2 linked regions of the Lepisosteus oculatus genome follow. The protein of the gene in region 1 interacts with the protein of each later gene in a pairwise test. Links are inferred from orthologs where the notes say so. Each region holds a gene or a part of one and is shown in the gene's direction. Other genes may lie near its edges.

Region 1 (7,900 bases):
GGAATCACCCGGGCTGCTCGCAGAAAGGACGCGTCAAGCCCTGATCCTGGCTTCCTGGTGGCGCTAGCCTCAGTGTCAGGAGGCTTCAGAGCTTCCAGGGGGAAATCGGGAAAATCCTTCGGTCAATGTCCCACCACCCAGACTAACGCAGCTCCGTTCTCATAAAGTCGCAGAAAAGGCGTCAGACTGCGTTCAGCGAGGTCAAATCTCGCGTTCGTGTTTCTCCATCCTCTGCACCAGAGAGTATCACCCTGCAACTCCCAGCTGGCAGCCCCACTGGAGCTCAGCAGGAGTGAGCCTGGCCAGTACCTGGGTGGGAGACCTGCTGGGAAAGCTAAGGCTGCTGCTGGAAGAGGTGTTAGTGGGGCCAGTAGGGGGCGCTCACCCCGTGGTCTGTGTGGGTCCTAATAACCCTAGAATAGTCATGGGGACACTATACTGTAAAAAGCTGCTGTCCTTCAGATGAGATGTAAAACAGAGGTCCTGACTTGCTGTGGTCATTAAAAATCCCAGGGCTGGATCAATCTGTTCTTCTCCCCACTGAGAGCTGGTGTGGGGTGAGTGTACTGGTGCACTCTGGCTGCTGTTGCATCATCTGTACATTGGTAGTTGTGGAAGGGAGTCCCCAGTACCTGGAAACTGCTCTGAGTGGAATGTCCAGAAATGTGCTGTATAAGTGTAAGGAATTATTATTATTGCTTAGGTGGGGAGCTGCGTCAGCATGCGTAGGCTGCAAAGGAACAAGTAATAGGTTTATTCCATGCTGAAAAAAAGATGAAGAAAGAGAACACAACGTTTCGGCCGTGGAGCCTTCTTCAGGTTTGAGAGAGACAGGGCAGTAGGCAAAGGGAAAGCGTTTACACTTGTGTTCTCTTTCTTCTTCTTTATTTCAGCATGGAATAAACCTATTACTTGTTCCATTATTATTGCTTAGTCTTGCAGATTCAAATTTAGATGCTTTCTAAATTCTGGGAGTGATCTTGGTCACAGCTCATCTTGAAATTCTCTTAACTGAATGCAGCACCTGTTTAACTGGTCACGATGATGACGCTGCATGTCTTCAGAAGTGAGTGATTGAAAGTGGGCTAATAATCCTTGCAGGACTGGGACTGAGACACCTGCTCTGATTGATCTCACTTGTCCAATCACGCTCTGTCTGAGCACGGTATGCTGTCTTTATTGGGCTAAATCTGCAAAAGCAGCTAAAGATGAAAAGTTAGTTGTGGTCTTTGAGCCTTATAAGTTAGTTATTAGTCACTTCAGGGTGTCTCCCTCTGGGATAAATCTAGAGAGATTTTGAGCATTTCTAGTGCTTTTACAAATACTAATAATAATTCCTCACACTTATAAAGTACTCTTCTGGACACTCCACTCAAAGTGCTTTACAATTAATGGGGACTCCCCTCCACCACCATCAGTGTGTAGCCCCACCTGGATGATGCACCAGTACTCTCCCCACACACCAGCTCTCAGTGGGGAGGAGAGCAGAGTGATGAAGCCAGTTCAGAGAGGGGGATTATTAGGTGGCCGAGATTGGTAAAGAACAGGGGGAAATATGGCCAGGACACTGGGGTAACCCCAACTCTTTTCGAGAAACACCCTGGGATTTTTAATGACCACAGAGAGTCAGGACCTCGGTTTTATGTCACATCCGAAGGATGGCGCCTGTTTACAGTATAGTGTCCCCATCACTATACTGGGGCATTAGGACCTACATAGACCACAGGGTGCTGGCCCCACTAACACCTCTTCCAGCAGCAACCTCAGCTTTCCCAGGAAGTCTCCCATCCAGGTACTGGACAGGCTCACACCTGCTGAGCTCCAGTGGGGCTGCCAGTCGTGAGTTGCAGGGTGATGCAGCTGCTAGCTAAGGTTTTCTGGCACTTACATGGAATTGCACACATTAAAAATAGAGATCCAGCCTAGGAATGAAAGGCAAACATACTGTATGACCCACGCAGAAAAAAAACCTCTTACAGTAAACAGCATGTGCGCTATGTTTGCAGGAGAGCGTGTGGAATTACTTTTCAATTCTTTTATGGAAGGAGAAAAAGAAACAAACACAGCAGGTCTAGGCAGCTTCCAGGCATTGTGAGCACAGGAACCGGAGGAGGAGAGCGGGAGGGAGAGGGAGAGGGAGAAGGGAGAACGAGACAGGAAGAGTGAGAGGGTGGGAGTGCTGGGACCCGAACTAAAGGTGAAAGGTCATGGTGCCGGCTGGCCCTTTGCTGGGGAGAATCCCAGTTAGAGCTGGACAGTCCGGTCTATCGGACCCGAGGTCAATTTTGGGAAGTGTGTTCTTTTATAGCATCCATCATTTAAATGCCCGACCTGACCAAGGCCATGGACACGGAGCTCACGATCACAAACGACCAGGTCAAATGGTCTCCTCTGACACACCCACCAATCAGAGCTGTTTGCGCTGCGCCGCACTATGACCTAGAACTGGCACTCAGGTGACACCTTCCCGAGGCCAGTGTGAGCTCACAGGCCTATGTCCTGTACCCCTTTTCTCTACACTGTCCCGTGTGGACACAGTTGATAAGGAGGAGAAACCAGCTGTTTTTCTGATAGGGATAAATCTGGGGGGGGGGGGGGTTCTTTGACCGCATGTCTTTGGAAGATTGGAGCTCTATACCACCCCCCCCCAAACCTCCAACACAAATCTAGCAAGAACATGCAAGCTCCACACAGAAGGGTGGCCTGGGCACTTGTACCCAGAACCTTGCAGGTGTGAAAGGGTGCCGTTAACCATCCTGCCACTCTGTGACCTGACATTACAGCCATGCATGTGGAGGACACACAACATGCCACATATCCAGAGTCGAATCTTCTGACCCCTTTGCCCACCAGGGCTGACTGCGGACCACCACAGCCCGAGGCAGACCGCCTGAGCCCAGCGTAGGTCTCTTCCAGGATTTCAGCTACAACCGGAGCAAAGCACTCGGATAAACAAACCAAATAAGCAGAATTTCCCTTTACACGGCTTCCTGATCTGGATTTTGTACTTATAAGGCGAGACGGGGAAGCGATTCCACAAGGGAGAAAGGGGAAAGGGGAGGAGGAGAGGACGGAGATCTACTTTTGTTTCGGAAAAATGGAAAAAAAAAACAAAAACAAAACATTCGCAAAAAAACACGAACGCGACTCTTCCTTGGCAACGGCATCCGTCCTCTGCATGAAAGACAGGAAAGTCATCTCCTCCTGAGTCACTTCCTCAGCAGGTGGCACAGGGAGAGAGCGCTGGCCAGCAGGGCTGGAGAGGCGCAGAGGCGGAGACTGGGAAGGAAAGGAGGGAGAGCAGGTCTGCAGAGCAGGGCTGAAGCTGGACTGGGAGTGAGGCACTGGGGGTCAGAGCTGAGGGACTGGGAGTGAGGCACTGGGGGTCAGAGCTGAGGGACTGGGAGTGAGGCACTGGGGGTCAGAGCTGAGGGACTGGGAGTGAGGCACTGGGGGTCAGAGCTGAGGGACTGGGAGTGAGGCACCGGGGGTCAGAGCTGAGGGACTGGGAGTGAGGCACTGGGGGTCAGAGCTGAGGGACTGGGAGTGAGGCACTGGGGGTCAGAGCTGAGGGACTGGGAGTGTGCCAGGCTGCATTGTGTTCAGTGTCGCAGTGTCAGAGTGCTGGGCTGCAGTGTGTTCAGTGTATCAGTGCCGGGCTGCAGTGTGTTCAGTGTAACAGTGTCAGAATGCCGAGCTGCAGTGTGTTTGTCTCAGTGCTGGGCTGCAATGTGTTCAGTGTCTCAGTGCCGGGCTGCAATGTGTTCAGTGTCGCAGTGTCCGAGTGCCAGGCTGCAGTGTATTCAGTGTCTCAGTCTCAGAGTGCCGGGCTGCAGTGTGTTCAGTGTAACAGTATCAGAGTGCTGGGCTGAAGTGTGTTCAGTGTCTCAGTGCTGGGCTGCAATGTGTTCAGTGTCACAGTGTCAGAGTGCCAGGCTGCAGTGTGTTCAGTGTCTCAGTGCGAGAGTGCCAGGCTGCAGTGTGTTCAGTGTCTCAGTGTCAGGGTGCCGGGCTGCAGTGTATTCAGTGTCACAGTATGAGAGTGCCGGGCTGCAGTGTGTTCAGTGTCAGAGTGCCAGGCTTCAGTGTGTTCAGTGTCTCGGTGCCGGGCTGCAGTGTGTTCAGTGTCTCAGTGCTGGGCTGCAATGTGTTCAGTGTCTCAGTGCTGGGCTGCAATGTGTTCAGTGTCGCAGTGTCCGAGTGCCAGGCTGCAGTGTGTTCAGTGTCTCAGTGCGAGAGTGCCAGGCTGCAGTGTGTTCAGTGTCTCAGTGTCAGAGTGCCGGGCTGCAGTGTGTTCAGTGTCTCAGTGTCAGAGTGCCGGGCTGCAGTGTATTCAGTGTCACAGTATGAGAGTGCCGGGCTGCAGTGTGTTCAGTGTCAGAGTGCCAGGCTTCAGTGTGTTCAGTGTCTCGGTGTCAGAGTGCCGTGCCGCAGTGTGTTCAGTGTCTCAGTGTGAGAGTGCCACGCCGCAGTGTATTCAGTGTCAGAGTGCCAGGCTGCAGTGTGTTCAGTATCTCAGTGACAGAGTGCCAGGCTGCAGTGTGTTCAGTATCACAGTGCCGGGCTGCAGTGTGTTCAGTGTCACAGTGTGAGAGTGCCGCGCCACAGTGTGTTCAGTGTCACAGTGTGAGAGTGCCGGGCTGCAGTGTGTTCAGTGTTAGGGTGCCAGGCTACAGTGTGTTCAGTGGCACAGTGTGAGAGCGCCGGGCTGCAATGTGTTCAGTAGTTCAGTGGTTAATTCAGTTTTAAAGATTCAGCAGCTGCTGCATATTTTGCGACTGCTGGACTGCAGTGTGGGAGTAAACTCCAAGACGAGTGGGGGGGGGGGGAAGACCAATTACACCGAGCCGTGGCGAAGTTACACTGCCAAAAATAAAGATTTTGTTTTTGTAACACGGCTTGTCAGTTCAGTGGCGTCGTTTCCAGTAGCTCCGTGGTTTTTTCAGTGCGCGATCGGCAGTCTGCGGTACAAAAGATACAAGCGCCTCCTCACACTCTCCGCTACAATCTCACAAGGAGGCCGGGCGCTCCGGCGCGCTTGGCGGTCTTCCAGATCGGAGAGACGCGGCTGTGCAAAGAGTATCTGAGGTCAGTGCGCTTTCGCAATGTCGTCTGATTGCTGTAAATACCGTGAGCAACGCGAGCAGAGAGGGACCGAGACAGGGATAAAGTCGCACAGACGATTAGCTCGGAGCAACCTTACGGTCTCGACTCAAGGCAGGTAAACGGGAACGATTTGTGAAAAAGATATAGGACTAAGTAAACACAGACTCCTAGCTCATCTTAGAAGCCCGGACATAAGAAATAAAAAAAGAATAAAACGTTTCGTATGTCAATGCCCTCGGAAAGGTGTAAACAAGTCTATGTTTATGTACAGGGCCACCCTTTCTGTTGAAAAACGCATCAAAGCCCAGTAATCTAAATATATAAATCACCCAGGCAGACATGCACCTGACTCTACTGTATTCCTCTTGCAAAGACCACATCTTGCATGGACGTCCAAAAGCGTCACTGAAAACGTAACAAGCGTTTCGCAAAAAAATTACACAACGTCAGAATGACAAAAATGACAAAAGAAATTAAAAATAAGTTCTGTGTATTTCTCAGCGGCAGCCAGAATATTTTAGGTAAAAACAATTAATGAAGGACACCCGCCTTCTCACATTTAACCACTCGAGATTAGCAACAGAAACAAGTCTGGTAACAAACTTGAGAGTTGTGACGTTTTCTAAACCGCCGGATTCCCCACAAACACACAGCAGCATCATTAACAAAAAAAGTAAGAGACATTCAAATAAACTTCGAAAAACTGATTTCAATTCTGTCCTCTCCAATAGTTGGAACTGTAACAAAAAAAATGCTCCCCAGTTCAGCTCGTTGCGTTCTCCCAAGATGTGTTTTTCAAGGACTACAGCAAAGCGACAGGGCATGTTATATAGACAGAGACGGAGTGATACATCACCTGGTTAAACAGCGTGGCCTAAATTCCTAGAACCAGCTGCCTCGCCGGCTTTTGAGGAAATAATATTCCAAGAAACAGCAAGAGCTCAATTCTGAGAACCCAAGTAGCGGCGCGTCACACTCTCGCCAGCCGTAGGGGTGCCCCTACTTTCTTGTCACGGCAGATCAGCGTTAAAGTGTTTCTGTTTTTCATTTTCACCCAAAGTTTGTAATAATAGCTGAATTGAAAGCGACTCACGCCTATCGGCAAAAGACAAGTATATTTCGGGGAAAGTTTCTTAATCCCCTTCACCCTTAAGCACCCCTCTCTTCACTTTGTGTAGTACAACCTGCTTAAAATGAATGTCACATGTCCCTCCCCGGGTAAACACGCTGATCTCAGCGCAATTTCTCAGAAGCGTGTTGGCAGAGGTTGATGTAATTTTAAACTCTCAGTGCTTTTATTCGGGGGTCGGCTGGCGTTTCTCGTACAGTTCGGGGGTCTTTCGGGGAAATTTTGGATCTTGGTACTACGGAACTTGGGTGTCAGTGTATTTTTAGTGAAGCGTGGGTTGTGTGGTGGTTTGTGTGTGTGTGCGCTCGCCGTGGGGAAGGTGAAAGTAAGCAGATAGATTTCTCTTCTTGTTCTCGTAATGACTAGTCAACCGGCGTGTGCGGCTTCCAGCAATATCATCGAAATTTAATTTCACCTGGATTCACCTGGTTGGTATCCACACATGATATCCAAAAGACGCCTTTTTCCCCCATAAGAAGAAGTAAACAGATTTTAAGCAAAACCCTTGGTTTTTAGTACTATAAATTAGAAACAAACTCCTGACAGTGCTAATTCACAATCGTGAAGGATCAAGGGATTTAGAAGAACAAGGGTTCTCTTGCAAAACGTTTAGAAATACTGAGCCATATTGCAGTTGACGGAACTGTCAATGGCGCATTTTCAAAGCTGTAATATTCAAGTTCTGTAACAGGTGCTAATTCATCCACCTTTTCTGTAAAACACACACACAGTTAATTTGGGGTTCAGCGGTTCGATCTTGTGAGGTTCAGACCTATTTTAATGAGGTGATATTGCAGATGGTTTCGCGTTTATTTCATGGTGACAATGGAGTAAACGAGTCGTCAGCGGCTGGGTTACTGGTGCTCCCAGGACTGTTTATATCAGAGAATATACGTAGATCACAATCTGTCTTTGAAAATACATGTTAACTATACTTGCGATAAAGTACAACAGCAAATTTACTTGCTCCACAGTTTGCAATTTGTTATTGTACCAGTTGTCAGATTTTGTGTGAACAGAGTGTGTCGAATAATCGTCTGGTATAACAGTCGGTCTGTGCAACAAAAGGCGGAGATGTCCAGACTTGGCAGGACGTGCTCTCAGTCAGCAGGGCGGCCCCGAGAGCAGAGCTCTGGAGCTGCTTACACCCGGGGTGCACAGGGACCGGCTGCTGGGGTCTCCTCTGACCCCTCGCTTGTTCTGCATGAAGAGTCCCGCCTCCCCCACGGCGGGCCTAACGTAATGAGCCATGCCTTTTCCCCAGATTCAGAGGACTCGATCAATAACGGAGCGTTGGTCTTTGGGCGAGTGCGATGAGTGGTGTGTGCTCAGTGAGGAGGGAGTGTGCAGTTATCGAGGCTCAGGGTGATCGTGGGCCAGGAAGCTGACAGGTTCTCGTAAGCTTTGCAAAATCCGGTGGGAAGGACGTGTAATGACTGATGTATGGGTTGACGTCTTTTATGTCATGTTATATTGATTTTTCGTGTAGTGTTTGTATGTTTTTTTGTAAGCCTCTCTGTTTGTAAAACATCCCATGCCTTCAAAACAATTTTCTGATAAATCGGGCAATAAAGTATAATCGTATATAGCTATTCAGTTCGGTTTAACACCCTATATGGCTTCGGTTATATCCTTCATGATGCTACAAAAAAAAAAAACTTAAGC
Region 2 (7,536 bases), on another chromosome or scaffold:
CCCCAGGATCAGAACTGGGAAGCCCCCTTCTATTTTAAGTTTATTGTCAAGGGTACAAGCACCAGGCAAAGGGGGCGACTCACTCCTTGACTTTCTTGTCAGAGGGCTCGGACCCGGGGTCGAATATGCCCTTAGGCAGGTGCTGGATGAGGCCAATCCTCTGGGCGATGCGAATCTGCTCCTCCTCGGTCAGCTGGGTGGCCAGGCGGGTCTGGCTGGGCGTGGGGTGGTACACTGGCACCTGAGCGTGCTCCTGGGCACATGAACACAGCACAGTTAGTCCAGCATACAGGAGAGCAGGCACACAGGGCACAGTCAGAGCCCAGCCTACAGGAGAGCAGGCACAGGGCACAGTCAGAGCCCAGCCTACAGGAGAGCAGGCACAGGGCACAGTCAGAGTCCAGCGTACAGGAGAGCAGGCACAGGGCACAGTCAGAGTCCAGCGTACAGGAGAGCAGGCACAGGGCACAGTCAGAGCCCAGCCTACAGGAGAGCAGGCACACGGGGCACAGTCAGAGCCCAGCCTACAGGAGAGCAGGCACAGGGCACAGTCAGAGCCCAGCCTACAGGAGAGCAGGCACAGGGCACAGTCAGAGCCCAGCGTACAGGAGAGCAGGCACAGGGCACAGTCAGAGCCCAGCGTACAGGAGAGCAGGCACAGGGCACAGTCAGAGCCCAGCCTACAGGAGAGCAGGCACAGGGCACAGTCAGAGCCCAGCGTACAGGAGAGCAGGCACAGGGCACAGTCAGAGCCCAGCGTACAGGAGAGCAGGCACAGGGCACAGTCAGAGCCCAGCCTACAGGAGAGCAGGCACAGGGCACAGTCAGAGCCCAGCCTACAGGAGAGCAGGCACACAGGGCAGTCAGAGCCCAGCCTACAGGAGAGCAGGCACAGCGCACAGTCAGAGCCGAGCGTACAGGAGAGCAGGCACAGGGCACAGTCAGAGCCCAGCATACAGGAGAGCAGGCACAGGGCACAGTCAGAGCCCAGCCTACAGGAGAGCAGGCACAGGGCACAGTCAGAGCCCAGCCTACAGGAGAGCAGGCACAGGGCACAGTCAGAGCCCAGCCTACAGGAGAGCAGGCACAGGGCACAGTCAGAGCCCAGCCTACAGGAGAGCAGGCACAGGGCACAGTCAGAGCCGAGCGTACAGGAGAGCAGGCACAGGGCACAGTCAGAGCCCAGTGTACAGGAGAGCAGGCACACGGGGCACAGTCAGAGCCCAGCCTACAGGAGAGCAGGCACAGGGCACAGTCAGAGCCAAGCGTACAGGAGAGCAGGCACACAGGGCACAGTCAGAGCCCAGCGTACAGGAGAGCAGGCACACGGGGCACAGTCAGAGCCCAGCGTACAGGAGAGCAGGCACAGGGCACAGTCAGAGCCCAGCCTACAGGAGAGCAGGCACAGGGCACAGTCAGAGCCCAGCGTACAGGAGAGCAGGCACAGGGCACAGTCAGAGTCCAGCCTACAGGAGAGCAGGCACACAGGGCACAGTCAGAGCCCAGCCTACAGGAGAGCAGGCACAGGGCACAGTCAGAGCCCAGCCTACAGGAGAGCAGGCACAGGGCACAGTCAGAGCCCAGCGTACAGGAGAGCAGGCACAGGGCACAGTCAGAGCCCAGCGTACAGGAGAGCAGGCACAGGGCACAGTCAGAGCCCAGCGTACAGGAGAGCAGGCACACGGGGCACAGTCAGAGCCCAGCGTACAGGAGAGCAGGCACAGGGCACAGTCAGAGCCCAGCCTACAGGAGAGCAGGCACAGGGCACAGTCAGAGCCCAGCGTACAGGAGAGCAGGCACACAGGGCAGTCAGAGCCCAGCCTACAGGAGAGCAGGCACAGGGCACAGTCAGAGCCCAGCGTACAGGAGAGCAGGCACAGGGCACAGTCAGAGCCCAGCCTACAGGAGAGCAGGCACAGGGCACAGTCAGAGCCCAGCCTACAGGAGAGCAGGCACACAGGTGCACACACACACACGCGATAAAACAAACAGCTGCACAGGGTTATTTTTAGCCCTTACAATATCATATGTGTTATTCAACACATGAAAATAGAGGAAACGTCTTTCCCCCCCAGGTACTGTGCTTCAAGCCTGAATATCTTTAGAGAGAGGGTTCCCAGCTCTCTTACACCTGCAGTCCTACAGGTTATCTTGACCTTCTCAACGTCCAAAGAAGTCTAACTGGAACCATTTCATTCTTCTCTTTCTGTGCTACAATGCAGACAATGTTTAATGAAACAATGTTTGCTTGGCAGTGTGGGAATTTAATCAATAATGACAGATAGGAGCACAAGCATGTTGGACCACTAAAGTCTAGTCTACCAACTGGACTGTAAATATCCTCAGTGTTTTGGAAGAAACGTTTTTCAACTAAATTCTGCATCTAGCAGTAGGTGTGTTTCAAGGAATCTTCTGAAGAAAACTGCTCCAGATATTTAGACAGTACATCCAACAGTGAAAAGCACAAACCGTGAAGATATGAACTTTAATTTGGAGTGTTTCAACATGTCAACTTCAAGAAATACAAACAGAAAAAGGCTTAAAGCAAACCATACAAATTAGAGGAGACCTGAATTTTTTCAATCAAATCCCATTATAAGCCCCGTCTCAGCCCAACAGGACGGAAAGGGTAACCCTGCTATGTCTATCAGCTGGTCTGATCAAAAGGAACTAAGAGTTTGAATCAATAGATTCTATTCCCTGGAGTGTTGGTATGGACCTTCTCCTCAGATCTACATCACAATAAGCATAAAGAGTTGTTTTTATCACGCTTGGCTGCACTGACAATTTAATTTTATTTTTTAAAAGGGGGTAGCAACACCAAGGCGATAAAACGTTCTTAGTCTTGAAAGCGTTGCAGACGTACTCGGTATGCTATTGAAGTCAGACATTTCATTTTAATTTACTTTGTAAATTAAATTAAACCCCTGTAATCAACATGCAACGGCCTCTTAAAGTGTAATAAACTGTCGCAGTGTCTGCCACACAACAGACAAAGCAACGCGGGTTTTTTGTGCAGTAAATGTGTAGCACTCTTAATTCTCTCGGGATTCACGTCTCAAAAAGAGAAGAGAGGTTCTCATGAGAATCGTCTCAAAAGCACGTTTCACGGAAAACTAACAGAAAGGAAAAAAAGCCACATTCCCTGGAGCAGAAATAATTGTGTACCAGTTTTCTCGTCTTAACTACACTTCTGAACTACCTAAATAAATACTCGTTAATTCCCTCGCCTTCGGAGTTCCAGCATTTTAAAAATGTATAAATTATACAGGCGTTCGTTTTTGTTTGGGCTTTTCCAGACGCCAGCCTGAAGAGCTCTGTTCGACCACTCGTCCTCTCCCAGCGAATCCCCGGTCTGTATTTCACTCGTTCCCCCTTTACTGCACCTGATAGGGCGGCGGTGGCTCTCCGGGCAAGCTGGCCCCCTCCGACTCGTTCAGCAACGACAAGTCGTCCGCACCCTGCGAGGAGAGGCAGTTCCCCATCGAAGTGGACTCGGGTGCACTGGCCGAGAGAGTTGCAGAGGGGCGGCTAAACGAGACCCGTCTTCCCCCGACACCCGAAATATGGGCAAGGAAAGCTAACCCGCTGCTAAATCACGCCTATCCATGAACAGTTTTCTGGCTTTCTTTCTTGTGCTTGCAACCGAATCTCTCCTAGCCAAAAATAAACCCAAAAAATCGCCGGTATTTATATATCAGTTACATATCCGATTCACTTTAAGTTAGTATTATAGGATCAGTCCACCCCATCTCCCCTTTGCTCTGTTTACAAACTGCAAAGGCCGGAAATGACGTTTAGGTGCTTTGTGGGAGTTGTAGTTCTGAACAAGCACACAAAAATAAATTTTAGGGGAATTAGTACTTGACTGATATTACTAGAAGTCATTACTGTGTTCTGCCATTGTCTGTTCGCTATATTATTGTTGCATTTGACGGACTTCTATAGCTAGGGGGACGCAGAGTAACAAAATATATACAAAAATATCATAACACTAATTCGATCTTGTCAGATCTCAGAAGATACGCAAGCTTGGGTCAGGTCGGTAGTACTGCGATGGGAGACCTCCAGAGAAAAACAACCTGAAAAATAGAAAGTTCCAGTCTGGCACGATTCCCTTCCCTGAATACATAAAATACGGGATGCGTGTCTTTTAGTTTTATGTATTTATTCAACACAAGGATTATTTATCACCGCAAGCAGGTACCAAAATCAGGCTGAGCAGAGCCTTTTGTCTCCGATAGACCTTACTGTCGTCACTGGACACTACGGCAATTGGTACATCGTTGTCTATAGTGCCATTTATGGTATGTTAAGTTTAGTTCACGGAATCAGACTTCTGACCACGCAGTTATACGAAAATGACACCTAACTTTACAAGAACCACGTGTTTAATAGCGTTCTATTACCCTCAACTCGAGTGATACCCACGTCACGTGACAGAGATGACGCCGGACCGTCTGCCCACCGCGTTCGCTTCATGACGTCATCACTAAGATGGCGGCAGTGAGTTGATGGCTCGTGTGTGCTGTTTTTTTCGCCAACCTCATCTACCAGCGTGCGAGTTATTTCAGATCCAAATTGACAGGCTGTGTTTCAAATATATAGTTTTTTTAGAGAAGTTTTGGACTGACAGATCGGAAACAGAAGAAAGATGCAAATCACTCTGAAGACGCTGCAACAGCAAACTATTCAAATTGACATAGACGCAGAGCAAACGGTAAGCGGCTGTAGGTTGTTGAATGACAGCATGACTGAGGCATTAATATTACCTGTTAAGCCGTACTAATGCCTCAGTCCATACAAACCCAAACACGATTTGATGAAACTGAAGTGTAACGTTAGATATTTTTAAAACAGTGATGGTTGGTGATGGTTTTCTTGGCGGATTTAGACTTAAGTCGAATTTGTCATTTTCAAAGTTGACAGTTTCGTTTCGCCGAGCGATCGCATATGCTTTAACAAGTTTCTTGAAAAAAACCCATTGGACACCCCGAGCTAAAGGGATATCCTCAGCTAGAGTTGGCCCTCTCGGTTTGTCGGAAGATTTGTACATGTTCGTTTTCTTGTCCGAGTCTTCTTTAAAGAATAATGTTACTACACGTAAGACACCGCATACGTTGACACATAATTCCCAGTAAAAGCGTTCCACTGAGTTGTTCCAATGAGTAATTCGGTGTGTTTCATTACAGGAACCGCGTATACAATTATGAAATAATTCTGCGGAATTAAAGTGTCGTTTCGGTACTTTAGTTATGATGCTTCGTGCGTGAACAGCAGAAGTCATACGCCACGTGACTCTGTACAGCGGTTTCTTCATCACATGAAAGGCGGTTCCTTAAAAACGATAAGAAACGATTGTTATGGTAACAGACAGACAGAAACGCAGTTTAGGCCGTTGTTGAGTGACTGTTACTAACATAGATATGGGTGACATTGCATGTGTAAAGGAGTTTAGAAAAGAGACCGAAAAGGCATGTTTTAATGCTCATCATTCGCAAACATGACATCATATTGAAGACTTAATATTTTTTAAAACTCCCTCGTCTGAGACCCATCTGCTTTTCCCAGTTAAAAAAAAACATTAGTGTACACAATATACACACACTACTGTACGATTTTAAAAATACATTTAATTCTTTGTGTTTTATAAAAGGTAACCTCTTTTGGGAAGTGAACACATTTAATAAAAAAAAAACATTTTTGTACAGCTCAGCAAACATCGTTTCAGAATAAGAGGCTCCCAAGCAAAATCACAACATCACATGGCCACACTTAGGAGCGTGGAAGAGATGACAGGCCTGATGTTGTGCTGGTTAACAGGCCTTGTGAGGCATCAGGCAAGACAGAGTTGTGCCTGTACAGCTCCCCTGTTTCTAAAGACCAGGAGAAATGCTGGCTGAGGAGCTTCCAAAGGGCAGGGAGGGATGAATGGTGTTTTCTCGTTGCTAACTGTACTCAGGTTCTTAGAAATTTCAGAAAAAAGAAAAGACCCTTTAGCCAGCCCTGTTCGCTTGGCAGCTACTTGCGAATGGAGTAAAGTAAATGTCAGGCAGGCAGGTTTTGAAAGCTGTGCTGGAAACCGCTTCAGACACCCGCCACTCTCCTGGCTCCTGAAGGAGCCCTTCCTGTTCTTGTTAGTATAGCCTCCATTTTGTGTTGTCCTTGATCTGGAATCACCAATCGTGTGTGGCTTTTCTCATCTCGGCTCTCAGCTACAAACCCCCCCACCGCACACAGGGGAGGATGTGGAAATGTAGGCAGACTCCTCCACCCTGCCCGCATTGGAGACACCCGTCTTGTAACACGTCAAGGGCCGTGAATCCCTGTGCATGAGGAGAGGCATGTCCCTCACCTACAGCACAATGAGCCAACGGCATCCTGGCCAGCTAATCCGACCCTACCCTTGACATCCCCTTGTGTGCCGTCGCACGGGGAGTCCCAGCCACAGTATTTACTCACGACTGCACAGCAAGACACAGCAATAACCGCATCATTAAGTTTGCCGATGACACCACTATAATAGGACTGATCAGTGATGATGACGAGTCCACTTACAGGGATGAAGTTGTACAGCTGCTGAGGTGGTGTCATAGCAATAACCTGGACTTGAACATAAAGAAAACGAAAGAGCTAATAGTGGACTTTCGGAGACACAGGCCACACACTCACAGCCCACTCAGTATTGATGGAACGGAAGTGGAAACAGTCACCAGCTTTAGGTTTTTGGGAATTCACATCTCTAAAGATCTAACCTGGACTGTGAACACTGACTCTATCATGAAGAAGGCTCAGCAGCGCCTTTATTTCTTGAGGTGCCTCAAGCGATGGGGGATGCCAACACATGTGTTGGTGAACTTCTACCGCTGCACTATCGAGAGCGTCCTCACCAACGGGATCACCGTGTGGTATGGCAACACCTCTTCGCGAGAAAGAAAGGCACTGCAGAGAATGGTCAATATGGCCCAGAAGATCATCGGCTGCGGTCTCACCGAGATTAAACAGCTCTATGAGGACCGCTGCCGTGGTAGAATTCTGGCCATCACAGAGGACAGTCACCACCCCGGGCATGAGCTCTTCACCCCACTGCCCTCAGGCAAGAGATATAAGAGCATACGGACACTTACCACTAGATTCTTCAATAGCTTCTATCCACAAGCAGTGAGACTGGCGAACACATTTAGCCATCCCCCTCGGACCACACCTACACCATCACCATCTACCTCATTGTAATTTATTAATTGTACGTCTCCAGTCATTGTTTACACGTCTGTATTGTTTACAGTCAAACTGTCTGCATGTTTACTTGCACATTGTCTATTGTTTGTTTGTACATTGTCTTGATGCACTGTTTGCACTTTGTTTTGTTTTTTACACTTGTTTTATAATCGAGAGACTTTCTGTAAGTAAGAATTCCATTGTACCAGTACCGGTTACATATGGCAATAAAGTTCAAGTTCAAGTTCAAGTTCAAGTTCAGTAACATGACCCAGGCTCGAACCCGTGATCATGGAGCTGAATCTGCAGGGTGACGCC

The links. The genes of interacting proteins can lie anywhere in the genome.
Region 2: the proteins of trip6 (region 1) and rad23aa interact in binary tests that used the Homo sapiens proteins (3 or more experiments, as listed by UniProt). The two-hybrid records come from large-scale screens. The link is inferred for Lepisosteus oculatus from reciprocal best matches to the Homo sapiens genes TRIP6 and RAD23A.

Annotation. Positions count from the first base shown.
Region 1 is NC_090698.1:9,104,638-9,112,537, reverse strand, and holds the start of trip6 (thyroid receptor-interacting protein 6), read left to right. Parts: upstream 1-4,872; 5' UTR 4,873-5,088; intron 5,089-5,962; exon of another isoform or gene 5,963-6,051; intron 6,052-6,371; exon of another isoform or gene 6,372-6,663; intron 6,664-6,683; exon of another isoform or gene 6,684-7,474; intron 7,475-7,488; exon of another isoform or gene 7,489-7,676; intron 7,677-7,707; exon of another isoform or gene 7,708-7,900. UniProt on the Homo sapiens protein: Relays signals from the cell surface to the nucleus to weaken adherens junction and promote actin cytoskeleton reorganization and cell invasiveness. Involved in lysophosphatidic acid-induced cell adhesion and migration.
Region 2 is NC_090706.1:16,876,636-16,884,171, forward strand, and holds the start of rad23aa (RAD23 homolog A, nucleotide excision repair protein a), read left to right. Parts: upstream 1-4,465; 5' UTR 4,466-4,654; coding exon 4,655-4,720; intron 4,721-7,536. Other genes in the region: rnf11a (RING finger protein 11a), read right to left, coding at 84-253, 3,387-3,485. UniProt on the Homo sapiens protein: Multiubiquitin chain receptor involved in modulation of proteasomal degradation. Binds to 'Lys-48'-linked polyubiquitin chains in a length-dependent manner and with a lower affinity to 'Lys-63'-linked polyubiquitin chains.